2 linked regions of the Caenorhabditis elegans genome follow. The protein of the gene in region 2 interacts with the protein of the main gene of each other region in a pairwise test. Each region holds a gene or a part of one and is shown on either strand. Other genes may lie near its edges. The genes, in order: sld-2 and mus-101.

What was found.
Region 1: the proteins of mus-101 (region 2) and sld-2 interact in a two-hybrid assay, tested with the Caenorhabditis elegans proteins (one study listed by BioGRID).

Annotation. Positions count from the first base shown.
Region 1 is NC_003279.8:3,739,325-3,743,281, reverse strand, and holds sld-2 (Ribosome biogenesis protein NOP53), read right to left. Parts: upstream 1,832-3,957; 5' UTR 1,815-1,831; coding exon 1,727-1,814; intron 1,680-1,726; coding exon 1,480-1,679; intron 1,434-1,479; coding exon 1,380-1,433; intron 1,331-1,379; coding exon 1,187-1,330; intron 1,138-1,186; coding exon 1,058-1,137; intron 938-1,057; coding exon 754-937; 3' UTR 635-753; downstream 1-634. Other genes in the region: larp-5 (HTH La-type RNA-binding domain-containing protein), read left to right, coding at 2,948-3,025.
Region 2 is NC_003279.8:10,478,894-10,486,706, forward strand, and holds mus-101 (BRCT domain-containing protein), read right to left. Parts: upstream 6,072-7,813; 5' UTR 6,069-6,071; coding exon 6,027-6,068; intron 5,976-6,026; coding exon 5,844-5,975; intron 5,806-5,843; coding exon 5,657-5,805; intron 5,597-5,656; coding exon 5,353-5,596; intron 5,303-5,352; coding exon 5,159-5,302; intron 5,106-5,158; coding exon 4,873-5,105; intron 4,554-4,872; coding exon 4,266-4,553; intron 4,216-4,265; coding exon 4,065-4,215; intron 4,018-4,064; coding exon 3,774-4,017; intron 3,315-3,773; coding exon 3,152-3,314; intron 3,100-3,151; coding exon 2,913-3,099; intron 2,864-2,912; coding exon 2,319-2,863; intron 1,925-2,318; coding exon 1,717-1,924; intron 1,583-1,716; coding exon 1,430-1,582; intron 1,379-1,429; coding exon 1,019-1,378; intron 888-1,018; coding exon 696-887; intron 651-695; coding exon 525-650; 3' UTR 409-524; downstream 1-408.

The sequences.
Region 1 (3,957 bases), 6.7 Mb from region 2:
AATATCACATTATCGGTTACATTGCTGTATATATACATTGTTGAAGGGATTTGGCATCGAATTGAAAAATTAGAAAAAAAATTCAAGTTGGAAGTCTGAATAGAGATTTTTCCTCTTTCAAAACTATTTTCAATCTAAAAAACCCTGAAATATTTGCAAATCTGCTTATTATATTGCGAAAATTTGCGATTTTAATGTAAAAAGACGGGTCTCGAAGCGACCGGGTTTTAAAGGGTACTGTTGTTGGAAATTTTTTGTTGCTGCCATATTTTAATTGACTATCTCAATTTGTCCCCCGTTTCTTGAAAATTTATCGAAAAAATGTGAAAATGCATAAAACATATACATAAAAATTTGAAGAACCTGGAGAAAAACTATGAAAAATCGATGAAAATTTGGCGAAAATTAGGAATTGGAAACTACAGTACTCTTTAAAGGCGCACACTTATTTGCAATAATTAAAAATCGGTCGCTTCGAGACCGAGTACAGTATTTTCGTGCAAAATATCAATATTTCATCTCTGTAATATGAATTTAACCAAAAAAAAATGCACTCTATTTTTATTCCCTAAAATTCCGATTCGAAAAAAGTTGAAGCTTTAGTTCTCCTGCCCCAGAACGCAATTAAAAAAAAAAAACTTTAAAACTTTTATTGCGGTTTTTGAAAAACCCGATAAGTGAATGATAAAATAAAATACATAAAAATCCGAATAATAATAATGTAAAAATGAAATTCTAGACAAATTAGAATATTCAGTACTTCTTCTTGAACATTTGTTTTCTCTTCAACTTTCGCTTCTGCTCTGCGGTAACTTTTCCGCGAACGAATTGCTTCTTTCTCAGATTGATTTTCTGGAAGTTTTGATCGCTTTTTGATGAACCGCCGAGTTTTCTGGCTGCTGGATTGTAGGAACGTGCTTTGGCAACATCTTCGTTTCTGAAAAAAAATTATAGATTGATTTGCATGAAATGTGTCAAAAAAATGCTTAAAATAGCCTGGAATCTGCAAATTTCCGAAAATTAAAGCTCGAAATTTCAATGAAAATCTAAAACTCACGTCTCATCATCGAATTCTTCAACCGGACCTTCAACTTCTTGACCCTTTTCCGGCGTTGGTAAGAGAAGCATTTTGAGATCCTGAAATAGGAAAATGGAAATTTTAAATTAGTATTTAAATAAAACAAACCCTCAATGGTCTCTGGTAAGCGCGTTTTGTTGGAGATTTGATCGGTGTTAGCGTAGATTTAACGGCAGATTTTGATGTGCTCGCGGAGTATGACTTCACAGGGGAAAAGTCGTCGAATTCGAACGGAACTGATCCCACTGGCTTCTGAAATTTAGTTTATTTTATTATTATAAAGATTATTAAAGTTTCAAACCTTTTTAGGCGACACCATGCTCTTTTCCGGCAAAACTTCGATCGCAATCATTTTCTGCAATTTTATTTTAAATTTCAGCAGTTTTTAATGCGATATCAACCTTTCTGGGTGAAGATCTCAGTGGAATTGGATTTTTATCATTTTCCGAGCCGAGCTGATTAAGATTAACTCGTTTTTTGATAGGGCTGAATTGCTCGCCTTCCATCATTTTCATTTCGAAATTCTTCCGCTTCACTCCACGTTTCGCTTGCTTCTCTTCGATTTTCTCGTCATTCTCCTTCTTTTCAGATTGAAGTATAGCTGAAATAATAATTTAATGTAAATACGTTTTTTTTTCCATTAATTACCTTTAATATGATTCGGAGCTACAGAAATATCTCCTGCCGTTGGTGATCTTCCATAAATCTCTCGGAAAGACGTTTTCCACTCTTCCATTACGTTCGGGCTGAAAATAATTTAAAAATTTAATTTGAAATCGAAAAGATTCGGCAGAAAACATGTGAAAACAAAGAAAATAAGAAAATAAATAGAGAAAATGAGAGCAAAAACCAAAAAACCAGGAGCTGTTTTCAAAACTCGCGCCAAAAATGTGTGGCAAGTGCGCTCCACCGCACACTTTTCCAGCGCTTGCTTTGAATCGCAGCTCTGTTTTATATATTTTTTCCACGTTTTATCTGAAAATTTCCAGATTTGTAGCCTTTTTTCTGTATTTTCTTGCTTTTAAACTGATATTTTGATGAAATTTTCTGAATAGGATAATATGAATAGAGAATATGAACTGTCAATTAGGAAACGCGTGCTTATTCCATATTAGGAATAAAATTTTAAATAATTCTACTTGGTTTTTAATTAAATTCAACTCCTTATTGTAAAGTTTGTAAACATTTGACTAATTTGAAGCTGTATTCCTTGAATTGTACTAAATAATTTGTTATTTAACATTAACATCATCTTCCTCTATCAAATATTTAGCCGAATGACATTTTCATTGAATTCAACTTTCTCTCCACTCCAAAACCTTGGCTCCATGAAATTGTCGAACTAATCGAAGAATTGCTGAAAAGGGATATGTCTCTGTTTCCATACTTCTTCTCCATCTCCCTTGCTTTTCTATTTCATTTCTCTTGCGGGTCCCTAATGATGGCAGGAGAGCCCCGTCCGCTGCCTTCAGTATATTCCAGGCTTTTCGCTCTAGAAAAAACAATCGAGAAGCGCGTCTTCTTCCTCTTCCCAGTTCTTGTTGCCTGCCATTCGTCCCTCCATTTTTCACATCGTCGTCTGCGTACCATATTGTGCACACATTCCCCTTCTCACTTTTTTTTTGCGTTGTCTCCGTCTCTTTGTGTCGTTCAACGTGTCTCTCTCTCTCTCTGCCCTCACAAAACCGGCTGACACGACACGGTCAGAGAAGAAGAGTCTGGCCACTGCTGCTGCGCCCGTCGCCCCTCTCTACGCTCCTTCTTCTCCACCACCCACTTCTCCATTCGCTTCCATAAGTCGGATGACGTGATACTGACTTCTTCTCCTTCGTTCACCATTCTCCACGGCGTCGACGTCCCTTTTCGGAGATGGACACGTTCGAGCTCGACTCGGACGCCTTCTACATTTGCACAGAAGTGTCACCGCGAAACTTTGTCGTTCAGAAGGTTTGTGTCATCTAATTTGCATTCGGGCGTGCCTCTGTGTAACGAAACACTCCTTTAAAGATTTGTATGTAACTAGAAAAATAAAATGGCTACTTTAAAAGTTAACAAACCCCATTTTAGTAGGGGTTTTTTATCGAAAAGTGTCAGCTACTTCTACGTCTACTTTCACTTAGTCTTCGCACCTATACCATAAAAACCGGATCTCGTTTCACTTTTCTTTAAGTCGTATATCGTGCGCTCCATAATATTTCACGGAGAGTTCAAATATTGCTTGAAATAATTTTTAGAAATACTCCGTGCTTTCCTTGAGTAAAGATAATTTTTTTTCTCAATTTTAAAATAATTCTGAAATATTTTGGAAGAATCATCTCAAAAGTTCATTTTCTGCATCTGCAAAAAGTATATTTCGCTTAAAAACGTATGACGCAAAGCCCCCGTTTGAATAACAGTTTCCAAAGTACTTTTTAAGTATTCTGGCAGCTGAATTGCACCTGCCTGGATATATTTCTCGTAGAGTTTTCCCGTGTGTTGTCTACTTCTTGCCCCATTCTGCCATTGAATTCTGCCACTGAATTCTGAAAATAGACGTATATATTTATTATCAAATCTTTATGATGTTTAATTAATAGGCACCAACTTTTTTTTCCTTTCTGACTCTGACGTAATTTAGACAAATGTATAATAGAGGAAAAAATGTGATTACTCCAAAACAATTCTTCCCGTGACGTCACGAAGGTTCACACAACGGCATATTTGTCGCTTCTGATCGATTGTGTTTCCAGAACTGGTCCTTCTTGGGTCAAAGACATAAAAAAATGTATGTGTATGTACGCGCACACCTTTAACCTCTTCTGTCATCACATCTCAATTTATGCGTGTCTCAGGCTAGCTACCCCGCAGCCTACTATGTTTTCTCCTTTGTGTCTCCAACG
Region 2 (7,813 bases):
GACATATGTATAAGCGAAACTTTCGTTAAAACATTAAATGTATTGTAACAAATAAGCTCCGAAATTCAAATACCTTTTGAAGAATTTTAAAAGTAAGATATTTTGGTGTGGGACTAAAACCAAAATTTCTGGAAACGTTGTTAAAATTTCAAATACTAATCCAAAAAATACATAAGAAAACCATTCACTAGAGCGTAATTGCAAAAAGGGTAGTGCAAGAGAATGGAAGTAATTTATTGATTATTTTCCCGTTGTGCAAACCGTAGACAGCGGGAACATATGGCATGAGAGGCAGCTGCGCGCGTTTTCCCACTTGTTTGAAAAGATATTCTCTTATAAGAAATGAAACGAGAAGAATAAAATTACGTTATTTAAACGATTCAAAATAAATTAAAGCAACGAGGACAAGCAAAATTATTGAAAACTTTACGAAACAAAAAATTGAAACAATCACTAGAAATTTAAAAAAGACAAAAAATGAAACCAATTAAAAATATATAGCACATTTAGAAAATCGGAATGGCTCATGCTTTCATGTAGACATTATGCCAAAACTTGGTTCGATTTAGATTATCTCTGTCGATTAGGAAGTCGTAAAGGATGTCGAAGACGTAGATCGGAATATTATCACGTTTCAGCAACACAGCGCTCTTAAAATTTGAATAAATTTTATCGAAGAGATTTTCTTAATTTACCTGAGGATTCCATGGGAACTCTTTGGATGCCAAAACAATGTTAGGCTTAAGTGTAGATACTTCTACATACTCGGAAATCGAATGAACAATGGCACCACCGGCTTCCAGAATCGATGAAAATACGCCAGCTCTCTTATCGTCGAGATGAATTACGCAACGCCAATCCGAGAATGCTCCATTTTGACGATTCTCCTGAAAGATTTGCCCGTTTCAAACAGGTTGAGCAGACTAGTGAGTTTTGAATGTTTTTGGTTCTAGTAAATTTAAATTTCAATTCAGAAATTGACCCAAAAAGCCAGAAAGCTACATATCTAGAAACTGACCATGCTAACTGAAAATGTAACCGGCATCTCTGCCACACGTTGCCTCCATAATCCACAAACAGCTGCTAGATTCTCGGAAACTTTCCGACTATCTCGTTCTTTGAGGGACTCGTTCTTTTTCGAACACGCCAACAACTTTTCTCGAGTCCACTCAAATGATTTTTCATCGAGCCATCGACCAACTTCAGCACTTTTAGTCACATAATCAGGTGTTAGACACCATTTTCCAGCTGCAATTGAGCAAAGAACTTTTGGAGCTCTTTGCATGTTGCTCGCAATCAGATGAGTCACATCTTTATTGAATTCACGTTCGATGGTACCACCAAGCTTCATGATAGTTTCTTGTAGATCTGCGGCTCGCTGAAAAAAACAAATATATAGAATTGAAAATCAAAACTTAAGAAATCTAACTTGAGGATCCATATTAGAAACACTGAGCAAAAAACGTGGATTCATTGCATATCGACGGTTCAGATCTTCGTGTTCTTGATTTTGATCTGCGAATGATTCATCCATTGGCATATATCTCATTGAACGGTTTACATCACGAACAAGAACGGGAGTCTGAAAAATACACATTTATCTCATAGTTTTAATAAGCTGGCTATGAGTTTAATATATTTAATTCCTTAAACTATTCGGACAATACTGGAAACTATTAAATCTTCTAACGGTGATATACAACAGAAATGCCATACACTAGAGACAGTTTTTCGATTTTCTGGAACTCTGGGTCGAATTAGGTGGCACGTGGAAGGCTCATCCTCGAAATCTTCGTTTCTTCCAGTGTTCACGACAGCTTTTCGAAGGATGCTTCCAACTCGAGAAGTTGTCAGCGTTTCCTGTGTTTCACGTGCCGGTGACTCCATATTGTTGATGTATTCGCTAACACCGTCGAGTTGGAGGCTATAAAATTGGATAACATTGACAAATTATGTGTTATTTTAAAGTTTTGCAACTAAATTTTTTTTTCAGAAATATCTAAATGAGTTTAAGATATTACCATTATAACTCCCAAAAATGCTCCGAAAATACGGTCCGGAGAAATATTCTCCCGATTCTTCAAAATTTAATGTAATAATGTCTCATGTTTTTTTTCTTTTTTAAAATATACATTTCAAAAAACCTGATCAACAATATTTTTGAGATGAAGCTCCAGGAAAAGCTTATTAATAGAGAAAAAGTTGCACAAAATGCTGAAATACACATTTCTTTTTTTGAAAATCGCAATAACCTACAAATTACGGTAGTTAAAATTTAGAATTTCACAATTTTCATAATTTGCAACCAGAAAACTCACTTCATCGTATATGGCTTTCGAAGATCGGGGAAATAAGGATTCACATAGGGGGTCGTCATGTCACCGATGTTCCCATTCCCAGTTTCTACTGGTAGATCCTGTACTCGATGTCTATCTTCAACCTCAACTTCCATTTCTTGTGTACTATTATTCTTCTCTCGAGAACACTTTTCCCAGAGATCATCGTCTCGTTGAAATCCACTTAGAGGCCTCGTGTTGTTCTTATACAGGAAGTTATCAATTGGCTGCAATCGACATCTGCTCACACTGGCTATAATCCATGAAAAATCGAGTGTTCGGGAATGGTATCTTGGTGGATTGTCTTCTGCATCAATCATAATAATAAAATCCTTTGGTTCCAACTGCTCCACAATTCTTCCTCCATTGTCCTCGATAATATCTCTTACACGATCACGGAGAAATGGATCTTTGCATTTTAATTGGAAGCCACGTTGATTGAAAATTAGAATTGGAGGACGGGGAAGTGGTACAAATAATGGATAACACGATCGATTGAGAAATCTGTTGTTTCCGATGCTCGCGTACTGAAAAATAAATATATTGTCTGGCATATTGTCAGGTTTCAATCTTTACAATATAAAAATCCGTGACAACAGCATCAAATGAAATCAACTCGTGCATTGGTCCAGAATGTCCGAAAATCACAAACTCCGCATAATCTGGATCGTCCATCAGTTTGCCTCCATTCAACGGAATTTTCTCTTTCAAATCATCAGAAACTTCTTGATCGACGGAACAATGGACACAATACGTGTGATATCTGAAAATGAGAATATGGAAAAGGAACATAAAAAAATAAAATACAATCGTACGAGAAAATTCCGACTTGAGTTGAAGTAGAGCTTGGTCCTGATGTTTTACCATATGGAATGGTTGATTTAGACGAGGTCCGGGGAAGAGGCTGAGGTCTTACTGGTTGCAGTTGAGATTGAGAAGATTGTGATTCATCAGCTGTATTTTCAGTCCATTGATAACCTGAAAAAATTAATAGTTAAACTGTTCGTTCCATCCAGAGGTATTCGACACTTTTTTCGGTTCACTGTTGTATCGAAGTTTTTTTTTCCGGAGAATCATACATATATTATAAATATTTGTTATTTTCTGAAGATAACTTTATTTTCAGTTAAGTTTTGAGAAGTTGCATCAAAAGTTTCGTCGAAATATTTTGGTGTTTTTTGAGAACATCGAAATTATAAGGAAAAAATTGGGAGATATGTCAAAAATAGGTTTATGTTGATGAGAAAAAAAAAGTTTTGTAAAACGAAACTTCGAAGTTAAAAAAAAATTCAGTTTTAAACTGAAATCTTCAAGCAACTTATCGAAGCTATTAATTAAAGATGAAGTTTTCTTCAGAAAATACAAATATTTCTCTATTTACAAATTTCCGAAAAAAAACTTCGAAAGAGAAAGAGGATGTTGTAAAAGTGCTGAGACCTTCCACTGAAATCATTTTCCGCTGTTTGACACACTCGACCACCCATCCAACAGTAACAATTGCAATATCTTCTTGATGAAGGTGTTTTCGAATGGTAATTCGTTCTTGTTGATTCGGCGAAACTACAACCACATTCGTTGCTGATGTGAATTTTGCGACACGCGTTGCTCCAGTCTCGTTCAGAAATCGACGCCATTTTTCCATTCGAGACTCGTCGACTCCACATATATAGAACATGCAGTTCTGAAAAATTGATGTTAATTTTGATTTAAAGAATAGAAAAAAAAAACTTCAAAAAGATCTCCAAGTCCATCGTCAATATTTTTTCGAAGTTCATCGATAGGATCAGAAATAACGTCAGCAATATTTTGAACGGATGCTGTTTGAGTAGTTGGATATCGAATCAGTGGAGTAGTTTGAACTCGAGCTATTGGAGTTGATCTGAATATCGAAAATTCATTGTTCTTTCTAAAATTTCCGTTTTCACATACATTCCATCTCTAACTCCGCTTCCAGATCTTCCTAATGTTGAATCATTATTCGTAAAAGTACTCGACGGGATTTTTGACGTAGAAGCAAATGAAATAAACGAAGATCCTGATTGATGTTGATATGATTGATCCATTTGTGGAATAGAAGAATTGAATGAAGATGTACCCAAACGACCTCCATGTCCAGCGATTGATGAGATATCCGGCACACTTTCAGTCACATTAGCATCACGTTTCGGGGTGGAAGATCGAATATGATCAGCCGTTAAATATTTTGGATGATATTTTCTGTAAAACGCTTTTTCTGGCAACATCATTTGAATGGAAAGTAGAGCGCCCAAAAACGAGCAAATTTTATAATGAAACACAGAAAAAAAAACTGAAAAAAAAGGATTATTTTGCTAAAAACGGAATTTTCATTTTCCTGTCATTGTCGCAGTTTTTATTAAATCCTAAATTTTTATTGCATGTTTTGATAGCTTATCTCGCGTAAGCTCGTTGATTTAAGAATATATTTTTTCTGCAAAATGTTCCTCTTTTTCGGATTTTTTAATGTTTTTTGAATGAATGTCGCTTGATTTGAGCCAATTCCCTCTCAAAAACGAACCCCGCATCTACAAGATGTCCTAAATCTACACATTTCCGAATCCATCGAGACTGCACAATTTGCATTGATTTCCATTCAACAGCTTTTGCATATTTTACTCCAGTAATTTTATCACTGATAAGATAGCTACATCTGGTTTTTGACATGGTTCCAGGCACTTTTCCTCCGTGATCTTCAATCAGCTGAATGAAATTGGTACGATCAGCGCCGTCGATCGATGTGATTGCCATTTCCTGAATTTAAATGTATAAAACTGAAATTCAAATTCATGATTTCGATCACTCACGAGCCCTTCAAAAACTCTCAATGCATAGGAATTAACTGAATCCCGCGATAAAGCACTAAATCTGCCCATTGTGGTTTGAGAAGTTTCCCAGAGATCATCAATCCATCCGATTCGCATTAATTTGATTGAATTATTGACAGCAGCCTGGAATTTTTTTATTTTATTTTAAATTTCTGCTTGATATACTATTTAACCTTATACTTTTCCGTCTGTTCTGCTTTTTCAGTTACTAGGTGAGTCGTTTCGTGATATAGAGCATCTCCAACCACTCCACACATCCATCCGATTTTTTCGTAGAGTTCTTGCTTTTTCGTAAGATTCAACCCGGTGAAACTGATTTTTACGTCTTGAAAAACACTGGAATACACTGGATGATTCCATTGTGGGAGCTGCTTCCCATCTTCGATACTTTCAAGAACAATTGGAGGACCGTATACTCTGAATATTGTAATTTTATTTTGTGGACTTGAATTTATTTGAATTTAATTTAACACAAACTTCAATTTCCGGGCTTGAAGTTTTCGAAAAAGCTTTCCGCGGAAACAGGGTAAAACGAAAAAGTCTTCAGATTTCTGCAGATCTTCGAGTGCATCTGAATCAATCCATTCTGGCATGATTCCCACAGCTTTTGCAGTCTGAAAATACGCCTAAAACTTGAAAAATAAATAAATTAATAACGCAATACTTTGAATAACTCTTCTAAATTGCGAATTTCTTTGACTGTTGGTTCATTGGGAAGATCGACAAAGTACAATGTGAACGGAGAATCTTCTTCATCGTCATCGCAAAGCACCGACTCGTCTTGCATCCTACTGACCTGAAATTTGAAGTTTTGATATTAAAATTGTTGAAAATCAGATATAATTACCTCACTCCTTCGTGCCTTCTTCGGGGCCGGAGGTGCCTCCATTGTAAAATCTGGAATATTTTGATAATAAAAAAAGCTAATTTCGCCAGTAAAAAACTCAAGAATTGGCAGGGTAGGGTGTTAACATTAAGTTCAAAAATGACAGTTTCGCGCGTGTGAAATGCGAACAGACACGACGGGAAGTGGTATGACTGTCTGCGTCTCTCGATATTCTGAATAACAGAACTGCTGACAGTTTCTCTCATTTGTATGAAGAAATTTGTGAAAAGAGTTCAATCTGGAAGATGGAAATGTGAACATGGAGAAAACAATTGATCAGAGTAATTTAAATTATCTCAAAGCCAAAAACTGTACGGAACAGCGGCTTATAGCATCTCTATTTGAATGAAAATTATATAGCAGTTTCTCTTTAAAAACTTTTCCGAAAAAATCATCGGAAAAACCACTTCCTATTTTCCAAGTATCATCGCGCGTAAGTATTGTCCTTTTTGGATTTAAGGTTCAACGATACATTTTCACATACTGAAAAATGACGATACATTTTCATATTAGCGAGGAAAGGATGAAGAGTTCAACAACACCCAAAATTTCGAGATTCTACCGGAAGTTGATGTAAAAAAAAAGTAAAAAAAAAGGAGACCCGAAGAACTCGGGGATGTCCAATTGGGGGGATTACCAACTCGGGGGATTGGCCCCGCCCACAGAACCGTGGCTTGCAATACGCCCATTTCTGCAACTGCCGCACGGTTTTGAAACTGTATTTTTCTTGTTAATTCTCGCTCTATTGAGAAAAATACAGTTTCGAAACCGTGCGGCAGTTGCAGAAATGGGCGTATTGCAAGCCACGGTTCTGTGGGCGGGGCCAATCCCCCGAGTTGGTAATCCCCCCAATTGGACATCCCCCGAGTTCTTTGGGTCTCAAAAAAAGTAAACTATAAATTTTCCGTGGATCTGCAAAATTACGTGAAGTGTTTGTTTGCTTACGTTGCATACCGTAATCTGGAAAGCCGCCAATATCCTAAATTTCTCATGTCAAAAATCTTCAAGCTTGCCGGCCCAATTAACATTTTCAATTAACACCGAAAACACCGGAAACATATTTTTAAAAATGTAAAATGAACACGTGTATTCAGCTCGACCAACGCCTCGAAAATTTTCACAAAAAGGCGGGAAAAAATATTTGAATTCCCCAAGAGGAATTTCACCGCAGCGCGTGCAAAAGTCTGCATTTGCGCGTGACGGTGTTTGCACAAATTACACCGAATGGTCGAGCTGAAAACACGTGATGAATAAAAAACCTTTAAAAACTGTTGGTCTTAAAGGACCTATTCAATATGTTGTTGCTGGGTCTCACCACGATTGCTAATTAATACCGTAGTCAAGAGGCTTGGAAATCTTTTTTCCTAATATTCCATAAAACTTGTAAAATCTTTTGAAAATGTCTTTGTCTTCTTCAATTTCATGGTGTAAAATTAGTTTATTTCGAAAAATTTCGGTCAAAATTATGTCAATTTCAGTTTCAGACATGAAAACATTTAGAATAGATCAAAAATTGTTTGTCCCCAGTTTACGGCGCGAGCGGAAAATTTATGCGATTGTGTTTTCAAACTCGGAAGTTTTTTTTTTTTTCATACGGCTCAACGGCTCGATTCTTGATCAGTTTTTTCCATACTTTCTTGAAAAAAACAGGTCATTTTAAACCTTTTATCTATCTCTTACTTCTATTATATGATTTTATTTACGAAGCTAAAATGCCCATTTTTAACTTTCATAAATTACAGATTCGC